Schizosaccharomyces pombe: one gene and its partners. Changing the gene in region 2 together with the main gene of any one other region gives a genetic interaction. Each region holds a gene or a part of one and is shown on either strand. Other genes may lie near its edges.

Evidence for each region.
Region 1: mutations in the13 (region 2) and opy1 together harm fitness more than expected from each alone (negative genetic interaction), as found in Schizosaccharomyces pombe (one large-scale study listed by BioGRID).
Region 3: mutations in the13 (region 2) and rhp1602 together harm fitness less than expected from each alone (positive genetic interaction), as found in Schizosaccharomyces pombe (one large-scale study listed by BioGRID).

What each region holds. Positions count from the first base shown.
Region 1 is NC_003421.2:944,016-948,121, forward strand, and holds opy1 (protein opy1), read right to left. Parts: upstream 2,370-4,106; 5' UTR 2,246-2,369; coding exon 2,126-2,245; exon of another isoform or gene 1,845-2,125; coding exon 1,782-1,844; exon of another isoform or gene 1,732-1,781; coding exon 1,656-1,731; exon of another isoform or gene 1,618-1,655; coding exon 857-1,617; 3' UTR 501-856; downstream 1-500. Other genes in the region: pog1 (DNA polymerase), read left to right, coding at 1-457; ade10 (bifunctional IMP cyclohydrolase/phosphoribosylaminoimidazolecarboxamideformyltransferase), read right to left, coding at 3,817-4,106. UniProt on the Schizosaccharomyces pombe protein: Binds phosphatidylinositol 4,5-bisphosphate (PtdIns(4,5)P2/PIP2) at the cell membrane.
Region 2 is NC_003423.3:3,753,908-3,757,149, forward strand, and holds the13 (acyl-CoA thioesterase), read left to right. Parts: upstream 1-1,941; 5' UTR 1,942-2,025; coding exon 2,026-2,511; 3' UTR 2,512-2,742; downstream 2,743-3,242. Other genes in the region: transcription factor TFIIH complex subunit Tfb2, read left to right, coding at 163-485, 531-1,551; glutathione-specific gamma-glutamylcyclotransferase Ggg1, read left to right, coding at 2,750-3,242.
Region 3 is NC_003423.3:435,590-440,848, forward strand, and holds rhp1602 (DNA translocase Rhp16b), read right to left. Parts: upstream 3,220-5,259; 5' UTR 3,189-3,219; coding exon 2,400-3,188; exon of another isoform or gene 2,348-2,399; coding exon 644-2,347; 3' UTR 501-643; downstream 1-500. Other genes in the region: peroxin pex11, read left to right, coding at 1-172, 222-384; nucleoporin Nup107, read right to left, coding at 3,685-5,259.

The DNA of each region.
Region 1 (4,106 bases), on a different chromosome or scaffold from region 2:
ATCCATGAATCATTTAATTAAGAAATATTATCTAGAAGCTCGCCTTTCTTTAACTGTTCATGACGAGGTTCGTTATTTATCATCAGATAAAGATAAATATCGGGTTGCATTTGCCTTACAGGTGGCTAACTTGTGGACTCGTGCGTTTTTTTGTCAACGACTTGGCATCAACGAGCTTCCACAATCTGTCGCATTTTTTTCTTCCGTTGATATTGACCATGTACTAAGAAAAGATGTTAAGATGGACTGTGTAACACCCTCTAACAAAGTCCCCATACCTCCTGGAGAAGAGCTTACTATAGAGTCAGTTCTAGAAAAACTCGAGCAGTCCGGTCAATCACTTGAGCCACTTGAGCAAATTCAGTGTTTTGTGGATGTTAAAGCTACTACTTCAGCAGAGATTACAGAAGAAGACAAAAAAAACATTGCATATTTAAAAGCACAAGCATTTTACTGATCAGCAAAAGAATAATTTATTTTAGTTAAAAAATGTGTTTTTCGGTTAGGATAATTTTAGGGATAGTTATGACATTGAAAATAATTTTCATCAAAAGGTTTGTTTAGTGGAGCGAACGATGGTACTACAAACTGGCTCATGACGAAGGAAAAAAATCATTAAATTAGAGCAAGAAAGACACTTTTGTAACTAGCTGTGTCGATTTTCGGACATTATCGGAAATATTATTAGACAAAAAAAAAACAACGAGATAGTCAAAACATATAGAAACAGAACGGATCAACACGTATGTACACGAAGGGTAAGGGGAGTCTTATGAAAGGAAATCACAAGAAGGTAGCTAGAAAAGTAGCTGAGGAATCGTATTATGCACCAAATATTTTGATGGAAAAGCCATTTTTAACAAGCAGTAAAAGTACCATTGGCCTTGTCAATAGAAGTCTTAAGTGCAGCAACCCAGAGTATAAGTGAATCTTCGTTATCAACGCGAAATTCGATAGGTTTGTTTTGCGTAATTACGGTAAAAAAGTATTTGTGTGAGCTTTCCGGAACGTTTATTTCAGCAACATCCTGAATGTCGGCTATCGGTATCACTTTAACAGGTTTGTACTCTCGGTTCGTGTTGTAAATAGTCATACCATATCCACGAACAACAGCCCAACACTTGGACCACCTATGTAAATTTCCATGTAGCCAGTGAATGGTTCCTTGCATAAGAACTTTATTTTCATCCAAGAGTTTATAGAGATTTTGTAAGGAAGCCGAATGCCTGTGCTTATTCAGCGTATTAACTTCTTGTGGGTTGAAGGGGTAATTTGCATTTTCTTCATTGATACCTGGTGGTCTCAACTTTCCAAACTGTATCAAATCATAAAGTGAAGTACAGAAATGGTCACCCTGACCAGTTTCCAAGTCTAAAGGAGAAGTCGTTTGATTACGAGGTTCAGTCGAAATATTGTCGAAGTCAGTATCAGAGATCTGAACGTTAGGCTCGCTTTCGGTTCGAGATGAAGAGTTCGCAAGGATATAACTGATAGGATGTCTTGAAAACGGTGCCCTATAACCCGTTGTGGATCTTAGAACATGAACCCATTCCTCAGCATCCTCATTTGAAGTGGCAATGAGACGAATTATCTTTTCATTTAAATACAGGAAAAAAGCTAAACATTAGATATAAACATCAAAAATTCTAACGTACTTTTTGGTGATTTTTCTTTGTAGTAGGCAACAGCTGAAATATCCTGAGTAGGGAAAATAAATTTGGTTTTGTACTCCTTGAAGACTGTTAGCGCGTCGTTGAAATTTGCACATTTTATTCACAAACCTTTTCGTCTTTGTAAAAAGATAACTGATCTCTGCGAAGAACAGCCCATAATTGCTTTTTAGTCTAGGTTGTTAGCATCCACTACAAAAAAAACCATGAGTGCAAATATTGACTCTGAAACGGGAAGCAAATAATTGGAATATTCTGAAAATCAATTGGTCAAAGTGCTTGTAGGGTGCTGTTTGCATCATCATATCCCCAAATCAAAAGCGAACAATAAAGAATTAAGAGTACGTATCATTCACTTCTAAGTACACTTCACAAAATTAAAGAATACTCCAAATCCCTTTCCACTCAAACGTATCGTAAATATTACTCAGACAACTAAGTTAATGAATACATACAGAAGTTGCATGTCCTTTCTTTATCAACCATCCGGATTTTAAAACACGCTCAAGCTCTGGAAGCCTTCTTGCTTCATCAAGGCTAGCAGTTCTGAGATGCGATGAAACTCCTGGGTCCATTTCATCAAGCGAATAGTCAAACTAATAAACGCCTTCTTTCTTTTGAATACATCAAGAAAATTCCTTAAACTGAAAGGTGTTAAACTAGAACGATGTAAAGTCGTCCTCTATACAGATTTTGGTTAAAATCACGTTTCCTAACGCATACGTGTTAGTGGTACCAGCGACGTACATATTCAGTAATAGCGTTCATTAACGTATCGCTATTTGTCAAGTGAAATTAAAATGTATGGTAGAGAAATTTCAATAATAGAAATGATAGTACGAATAAATTGTAGCAGTAGAATTGAGAAGCCTTCTTTTTGAAAAAGGTAGTCTGAAAATATGTCATCTTTATTTTGAGAGGCATACAACCATATAGTACATGGACACAGTAATCGTGTAGAAGTGCTACATCTCGTATACTAATTAAGAATCAAAAGAACTTTTGTAAATCCTACTGTTACAGAAATTCAACTTTAGGTTGTATTGGTGCACAGTGGTAAGGGATTGTTGTAAGGACTGGCAGGATGAAAACAAAAAAGCTATTTAAAGGGAGCACTTGTTCGCTGTAACAAAAAGAAAAGCAACAAGAAAGAAATACTTTTTTAAATATTTTTTAGAGAACCACTTTCTCTAATGTAGAAAGCGTTGGTCTTTCCCATTCGGTTCGAGACCTATGAAAGCTACTCAGTAGATACTGAGTTAGTAGGGAGTAGGGTTTAAACGTGATTTTAGCATGGTTTCTTGGAATAATAATAAAAATTCCCTTCCGTCCTCTATGCCATCTTCTTTATGCTTCACTTTACGTCCAGATAGTTGATAGTTTCCGGTCTTGTAAGATGATTATTGATATGGTAAATCAATCACAATCGAATGAAAGATAAAAGAATAAGAGTATGTAACCCTTTAAGATGGGAAATATATCAAGCAAGAATGGGGTTAAAAAAAAAACAATTTTAAAGTCATTAAATCCTTTTTAATACCATTAAATAGTACTAATTTTGCTCGTGAGTAACTAAGGTCGGGTAGCATAGTTGGTTATTGCGCACGACTGTTAATCGTGAGGTCGAGGGTTCGAGTCCCTCCCTGACCGGATTTTTTATGCTTCAAATCAACTGCAGCAAAAACATACGCTCAATCAATTTAATAGAAATTTGCAAACACCCAAGAACATGTTTAACTCAGTCAGTTTACTGCGAAGCTCACATCCAAAAAGCAGGTTTGATGGCGTTTTCCTTTCTACTTCATATGTTAGCTTAGCAACCAAAAATGCTTTATTGAGCCCGTTATGCTGTGAATTTCCAAGCTTTCGAATAAAATTGTTGCATTCGTGTTAAACAATAAAAAATATTTTCCCTACTATTACTGAAATAAAATGCCTTGAGTATCGGAAATCTTTTCAAAATTCAGGATACAAAAAAGATGCCAAATTTTTTTATATTAAATCAAAAAAAGTAAAAGACGTTGAAGTCTTTATTGTAATACCTCTATTAAATGATGGTATAAACTGAGGAAACCTATCAAATATACAGAACAAAAAAAATTATATCCATAGTAATAGTGGTCAAAAATTAGGTATACAAACAAGATTAATGGTGGAACAAACGCAAGGGGATCTCGGAAAAGACCATGTTGAACTCATTAGCAGTGTCGCGAACAGCTTGATCCATGACACTACCGCCAGGTGCAGCAACATATTTGACACCGCTTTGGGCAAGACGATAGATGTTGTCAGGGAAGGGGAAGAAGGCATCACTGGCACAGACAACATCCTTGCAAGTAGCCAAAAATTCCTCCCGCTCCTTTTTAGTAAGAGGCTCGGGAATAGTCTCGAATGCAGACTCCCATTGCTCACGTTCACTACCTTCAGCAGGAACGG
Region 2 (3,242 bases):
CCTTCGGTCTCGCGATGATTGCTTATCTGGCATTTATGGAAGATTGATAATCGTAAATAAGTTTATTAGTTGAGTACACTGGATTTTGTTCTATTCAGCTGAATAAAGAGAGATTACAACCGCCAATTTAAACCTTTTGAAGTAGGTTCGCAAATTGTCACCATGCAAGCAGAATTCAAGTCTAGTATCAACGACTTCCTGGAACAGTTACCAAATCATGCAAGGCTTTACCAAAAGCCAGCTGCTTGTCTTGCTGTGTTTCGTTTATTGCCAATTCTAGCTAGACAGTATGTCATGTCTATGCTTTTCAATCCTATGCCAGTAGCACTCTCAGATTTCGATTTATGGATCAAACTTTCGAGTAAAGTTTATCAATCTGAATCCTTCAACAAACTGGTTAGGATGCATATATTTCAATTTGATGGACAATATATCACTCTAAATAGTGAATTTCGCAAACAATTTATAACTGCTCTGACTGGAGGGTAAGTTTTATTGAATTTTGAGTATAAACTAATTAAGCTTTTTAGAGGAAATCACAATTCGTTTGGCGTGCCATGTACCGATGAAGACAAGCACTTGGTGACGGTTGATTTTCTTGACGCATATGCGAAAGAAACTTGGGAAACAATCTTGCACTTCATGGTAGGAACTCCGGAAGCTAAATTTCCTGGAGAAGGTGTCTTAAGTCTATTAAAGCGGGGCGGTTTAATGTCTGGTCCAAAAAACCAGCTACGTATTACCCGTGCCGGTTTTCAGTTTCTGTTACAGGATATAAATGCTCAAATTTGGACGTTACTTTTGGATTATTTAAAACTATCTGAAGACACGCATATGGATCCTGTTCAGGTTTTGCACTTTTTATTTATGCTTGGAAGTTTGGATTTGGGGAGGGCATACTCAGTGGACTTCTTAACAGATACACAACAAATCATGCTTGAAGACCTAAGAGAATATGGATTAGTTTATCAAAGAAAAATTACTTCCAAGCGTTTCTATCCAACCAGACTGGCAACAGGTCTGACAACTGATTATCGCTCATTGCATGGAAAGCAAAGTGAAAATGATGATGATAAAGGTTTTATTATTGTAGAAACAAATTACCGATTATATGCTTACACAAGCTCCCCATTACAGATTGCCATCATCGGATTGTTTGCTAACTTAAGGGCGCGTTTTTCAAATCTTGTTGTCGGTGTGATAACTCGGGATAGTATTCGTCGTGCTTTGATGAATGGAATTGCAGCGGAGCAAATTATTACATACTTGACAACTCATGCTCACCCTCAGATGAGATCGAATGTTCCTCTTTTACCTCCTACATTAGTAGATCAAATTTATTTATGGGAATTGGAAAAAAATAGACTTCGGGCTACTCCTGGAATTTTGTTTCGCGATTTTCTTACTGATTCTGGCTTCGACCAAGCAGTAGAGTACGCAAAAGAACTCGGGGTTTTGGTTTGGGACAGTTCCTTGAAAAGAATGTTTTTCATAACTACGACAGGCGCCCAGCCCATGATCGCATACTTGAAAAGACGAGCTGTCAAATGAATATTTTTTGGATGGTTCAAAAGAGAAGTGGTAATTAGAAAATATTAAATTAATCTCAAATCACTTGTAAGTAATTTACTGGTGTCAATAAACATATATATAACATAAGCTCAACATTAGCCATGTTAACTATACGCGTGTTGGATATTTATACGAAATTCAAGTTTTAATGATGCAACTCTTTAACGTTCAAATTATGAATTTCTTCTTCTCGTCATTAGAAAAAAAAAATATCCGTTATTTGAATAATCCAAACAATATTCATATTCTTGTATTTAATGTTCATTTAATTATATTACCATTTGTAATAATGATTTGGTGATATTACTATAGGCAGGCAAATGGCTTGTAAATCCTTACTAACTACAAGTATCGCTGCTGCGAGTAGCCAAGAACTGCCACAACATAACCAATTCACCTGAGGTACTTACTTTTACAGTGATTGATACCTGTTAAACGAAGTTTTAAGACACAATGGCAATTAATAGCTCTGGTACTAAGGTGCTTTCTTTCGTTCGTTCTGTTTGGCAGGATTTTGTAAATACCAATGGGTTTGATGCTCATGTAGTCAGTGATATACAAATTATAAGTGCAGTTCCAGGATTTGTAGAATGCTCTCTGAAACTGCAGAAGCATCACCTAAATCGTATGGGTAATTTGCATGGCGGTTGTATTGCAGCACTCACTGATTTGGGAGGAAGTTTAGCATTGGCCAGTCGAGGGCTTTTTATTTCTGGCGTGTCAATAGATATGAATCAAACTTTTTTACAAAGTGGTGGTACTTTAGGTTCATCAATTTTACTGCACGCAAAGTGTGATCGATTAGGATCAAACATTGCTTTTACGAGCGTTGATTTTTTGACATCTTCTAATGAGGTCTTTGCTAAAGGTAGGCATACTAAGTTTGTTCGAAATGCTTTAGGAGATCCTAGAAATTGCCTTGACTTAGCCGAAGATTAATTCTGCCTATATTTTATATCTTTCTCTGGCTATTCGCTTTTTCTGCTCTGTTTTACTCGCTAATGTTGATATGTTTTACACGATTTTTTCAGTTTTCATAAATTTAGGAATTAAAATAAGGGATTTTGCTATCCGTCGTTATCTATTGTAAGCTCATGTTATGGTTCGGAACATGCTCGCGTTTTAGTTTACAGTCACCGGTTTCCTTTTAATAACGAAACTTGGGCTGAATTCGCTCATGAAAACACTTAGTCCGGAAGGGAGTTTATGGGTGTTTGGTTATGGCTCTTTAATTTGGCATCCGCCTCCTCACTATGACTATAGTATTCCATGTTTTATAAAAGGTTATGTTCGCAGATTCTGGATGCGTAGTGAGGATCATAGGGGCACTGTTAACTCACCTGGTCTCGTTCTCACCTTGATACCTTATGAAGAATGGAAGCAATTTTCTGACTGGTCTTTCACCCCGTTTGATGAAGGATGCTGGGGTATGGCATTTCGCATTCCTGCAAAATATGCGACGCAAGTGCGAGAATACTTGGATGATAGAGAAGTCAATGGTTATACCGCCCATAGTGTTCCCGTTTATGCCCATACCGGTGATGAAATTCCGGTTTTGGAGAATTGTCTCGTTTACGTGGGTACTTCAAAGAGTCCCCAATTTCAGCCCTCAGACGACCTAACTCAAATGGCTAAAATCATTTCTACACGAAGAGGAAAGAGCGGAGATA
Region 3 (5,259 bases), 3.3 Mb from region 2:
CTTGCTCCCATTCAAAGCAGATTTCTACGATTGGAAAGCAATGTCTTGCTGTCGCTCTGCTTTCTTCCTGTTTAGCTGGATGCTATGAGCTACAGCAAAACTCGAAGAAGATCAAGAGTGCAACGCAAGAAGCATCTGAGAAAGATTCGACCAGTTTGCAGACTTTGCAAAAGTAAGTTTCTTTTTATGCATATTTTTCATATCTAACCACATTTGTGCAGAGAGCGTAAGGAAATTTTGTTCTTTGCTTTGCAAAACGCTTTGGACGCTACAATTCCTCTTGCCGAACTGGATATCCTTAAGGTTAATGACGGATTCGTGGCTGCTGCTGGTATTACCACGAGTCTTATGAGTGTCTATAAAACATGGATTGGTAGTTACTAAATTGCTTTCTTTTCAGATTACAATGTTTTACGAATGGTGTATCATTCGGCAAATATCTACCTTATATAGATTTACATCCAGGTGCATTCCTTCAGTATTTTACTTTTACTTAATCATTTGACTAAATGATATTTTCTAATATTTTTAATAACATATGTAATAGTAGATATTATTCATTAAACAGTCGTCTAAAGTCATACAACGATTCACGTACCAAAAATTTAGTTCAAAAGCTAGGTCCTTTATCACCTTCTGATTTTTAAGCCGCGGCACGCTTGTTAAATAGAAACAAAAGATCATTAAGTGTTAATTTTTTGGAGGTAAAAACCGACTTTTTGCCATCTCCGAGAGCCTGCTTGGCAAGGTCTCGTTTAAGATTCTGAAGTTCGACAATTTTTTCTTCAATTGTATTTTCAACCACTAGCTTATAAACAAGTACATCACGTCTTTGTCCAATACGATGTACTCTATCGATAGCTTGTTCTTCAATTGCAGGGTTCCACCAAACATCGCAAAGTATTACACGACTTGCACATGTTAAATTTAAACCAAGAGCACCGCACTTTAAAGAGCATAATAGTACTTGAGTTCCACTATCAGAGCGAAGGAGGTCCAAAGATTTTTCTCTAGCACGATTGTTCATGCGACCGTCATACCGAACAAAACCTATACCGGCTTTCCTCAAATGTAAGTCAATGATATCCAAAAAAGTGGTAAATTGAGAAAAAATTATTGTTTTTCGTAACCCCCGAACTGTATCATCCTCTTCTTGTTCATCTAGAGATAAAATTTTGAGGATTTCCCTAATTTTGGATGACTTGTATAGCGTCTTATCATTAGGGTCTTGAATTCCTTTATCCAATTCTTTAAAATTTCGAGAACAATCTTTGCATTTTTTTTCATGAAAATCGGGAGGAAGCTCGGCCATACAAATTGTACAAAAAGACTTTTTACGGCTTCCTATTTCAACTGTTTCTAATAGGTTTGCCAAATCATCAACATCTTGATCGGAAGCTAATTTGTTCGTGTTTGCTGCCCCATCCAACGCATTAAATGCATCAACGTCTTGTTCAAATTGAAAATTTAAAGACTGAGGATGATTGCAAGCCTGTCGTAGACGCAAGAGAAGACACAGTATGTTAGTATAGTTCTTGCCTAATTTCCCCGAATTAACAAAATTTGACATCGTTCGTTCCATGTTTCGTGCCAAGTTACTGTAAAAGTCACGTTCACTTTCTTCAAATTTACAAATAACCTTATACACCAAACGCTTTGAAAGTTTTAAAGCACCACCTGTACCATCTTTGCCCGCGTTTGCCTCTAACAAAGTCTTCGTTCGTCGTAACATGATTACACTCAGAAGCATTCGAAGTCTTTTAAAAACCAAGTTTTCCTCTCCTTGACATAAAGGTAAAGAAATTTGATCTTTCCAAACAGATTGGTCGTTAAATGGATTAATATGAAGAAATTTCACAAGTGAGTAAAGTTCATCTACATTGTTTTGTAAAGGTGTCCCAGTGAGACACCAGCGATTGATGCCCTGTAATGCGCAACAGGCAAGAGCTGATTTAGAAGATTTATTTTTTATAGTGTGTGCTTCATCCAGTATTATCCTCCACCAATAGAAGGCAAACAAGCTTGGCTTTTTCTTTTCATAACTTTTAGCTTCAGTAGGCGATTTGCCGTCTGTACCTGTAGTATTGTGAGACACCCATTCCGAAACTAGTATTTGATACGTGGTTATTACTACATCGTATTCGTGAATTACTTTAAGTAATTTATATCTGGATGCTCCATGATAAACGATTGCTGTCAACTTGCTTTTCGTCTGCACTTCTGATTCCCACTGTTTAATTAAACTGAGTGGAGCTACTACCAAAGTGGATTTGATTGAATGCTTCTTCTTTGGTAAGGGATGCGAAAGAATTAAAGCGATCATTTGAATAGTTTTTCCCAATCCCATCTAAAAAAATTATTAGCACTGAATAACAACAAATAATATTTTCATGACTTACATCATCTGCTAGAATTCCGCCGGAAGCCGAAGATTTAGACACCGTTTCTCTTGATTTGAGCCAAGTAAGTCCTTGGACTTGATGATCTAGTAGACGTATATGCATGCCAGGAATAAACGAGGACTGCCTCTGCATTGAATCGTCCTTAACATTGTCCAGCACATTATTCTCAAACAGTTTATGTAGCATTGCTTGAGTATTTTGGGAAGTTAAGATTTCTTCAGTGGGTATACCTATGGGGCCTTTTCTATTTTCAGAAGTTGGTTTATTGTGCTTACCAAAATATAGCGTTGAAGTAGAAGCTCTGGGAATTGGAATCACAATAGGCTTATCATTTATCAAGTCCGTTCTTTTCGAAGTTGCTTTATTTATTGAGACTTCAGGAACCTTGGTATATGGTTTCTTCCACGCACCAGATTTTACTGAGATAGGGGCAAATGGATCTTTCTCCCATTTCCTTATTCCCTCATCCTTACGTTCCAATTTTTTACTATAAAAAACCTGAGCTGGTTTACTAGTTATAGGCGCGGAGACGATTACTTCCTTTTCGTTTGTATCTATCTCCTGTCTCTTTAAGCTTTCAAAAGCATCAGAAAGAAAATGTTGGGTTTTCTTTTTATTCTTAGATTTTATAGATTGTTTTGGGATGGATTCATCTTCGCTTTTGGGCAACCTTGGTAATGAAGTAGATTCATTTTCTTTCCCTGCTGTATTTACACCGAAATTTTGTAAAAAAGAGTTATTCGCTTTTTTAACCCCACTTTCCTTATTTTTAGACGCTTTTTCCATCAAGCTCCCTCAAGCAAATTGCACTGAACGTGAACATTCAGTGGTAGTAGAAATAGCTTGTATACGATGGGTTCTTACTAAGTGAAGATTGGTGTCAAGAACTCAAATATTTCTATTTGCTTACTTTAATGTTTTTTTGAGTATAAAAGTAAACCCTACACAATATATCCACTAACACAGTTTTCGAGTCGAAATTTGTAAAGACTGCTCAAATCGACTATAGGATTTAAGAACTTGCGCAATGGTCCTAATTAACCGAACTTTCAAACAATTTTATAAGAATGTTTGCAACAAAGTGTCTGCAATTCTGGATTTAGTTCATAGTCTAACTTTTTGGAAAAAAAAATTTATATTAGAAATAGTCAAAAGTTATGGAAGTTTTTCAGCTTAGTTTTAAAATCAACGTATTAAGATAAACTGGTTATCAATGCGAAGATGATACCACATTTGCAGCATCACTATTAGTTTTCGAATTGAATCTCTTATACATTGACACTTATAAAGAAAAAAGCCCATTAGGGGTTGAAAGGCTACATTCTCCGGCCTTTCCTAAATAAGAAACATATTCAACCAGTCTGCCACTTTTAATAAGACAATGGTAAAGTTTTAAATCTTCACTGGCAACTTCGTTAGCCAGAGCAAAACAGCTATCATAGTCCTCAAGGCTAAAATAAACATTATGCAAACCGAGAATTAGTTCAGGCACATACAAATTCCGAATAGTCATAAGAGTTTTATAAAGCAAAGGATCATCATCTGGTTTCAGCTCCAATGTAGACGGGTGAAGCCAGTTAGCTTGAAGTAAGTCTGTGAAGGACTTTACACATTTACGAGAGGCAAAATTCAATTTTTTTTTCCAAACTTTATAAGAAGTGCTAGCTTTCGTAACTGCAGAATCTTCAAATACTTCTTGTTTAGAAAGCTCTTCCCATTCTTGATAAAATTTAAGTGCTCTGCAGAGAGCTCGATAGTTCATCAGTTCATACGCATCTCTAAACTTAGAATCGTTTTCGGGTTCACCATCGCTAGAGCTTAGCGTATTCAAAGCATCAGAGGGAATATGTGTATAAAGATCGTATGCACTATTTAGCTCGCCAATGCTTAAAAAGAAACGATATACAAGGTTTGCAAATCGGAGCAGCTCATCTGTCTGTGAAGTGATTAATAACCATTCAAGGGTGCAGATGAGCTTTTTATAAGATGGTTCAACTGGCTCCTCAATAGATTTTAAATATACTGTGTGAACTTCTTCGGGAGAAACAGAGACAACTTCATCATACACATATTCAACAGCTAGTAACGCCGCATGATTAATATCTAATGAATATTTTTTTGCTAATTGAAGTTGTTCTGATCTTGCACTTTCTTCATCAACAAGAATAAGGAATCGAGAATAAGCCTCGTACTGCACTTGATTTGATAGGTACTGAATATACAATGGAACCAAGTTAACTTTTTTAGCACTAGCCAATAACTCAATATACGCTTGGATAATAGAGTCAGAAGTATATTCATCCACAGCAAGACCTGAAATCTTCAAAAATAAAATTATGTGTGTCAGTATTCGAAGAAGAGGAGGTGTAACCAAATCCCCAGACTCAGGGGCATTTCCAGTCCGAATTGCTTCCAACTGTATGTGAGCAGAGCTCAAAATTTCCGAAATTTTATTACAAATGATATGAGTTTGAAGTTTAATTAGGGGATGTGATGCTTCTTCTTGGATTGAAGCAATAGAGCTGTTACTCAGCGAATTAAAAATCAATTCGGGAGTTAAGCCTAAACCACTATCCACTGGAGGCAATTGTGTTTCTGTTTGAGGAGCCTTAGAAGAAAGATAAACATCCAAATTGTACTGAGTCATACTATTATAATAAGCCCACATCGCATCCTCCCAAGTTGTGCACACATCAAGGACGGAGTTCAAGTCTCCACATAAAGCGCCATAAAGAGCGCGTTCATAAGAGTCTATCCGTTTATTTTTTGTAAGTGCTAAACATGATCTGCGCAAGAGTTCCTTTCTTTTATTACCGGAAGTCTCGGATTGCAAAACATCGTCGATGAGGTTATCTCT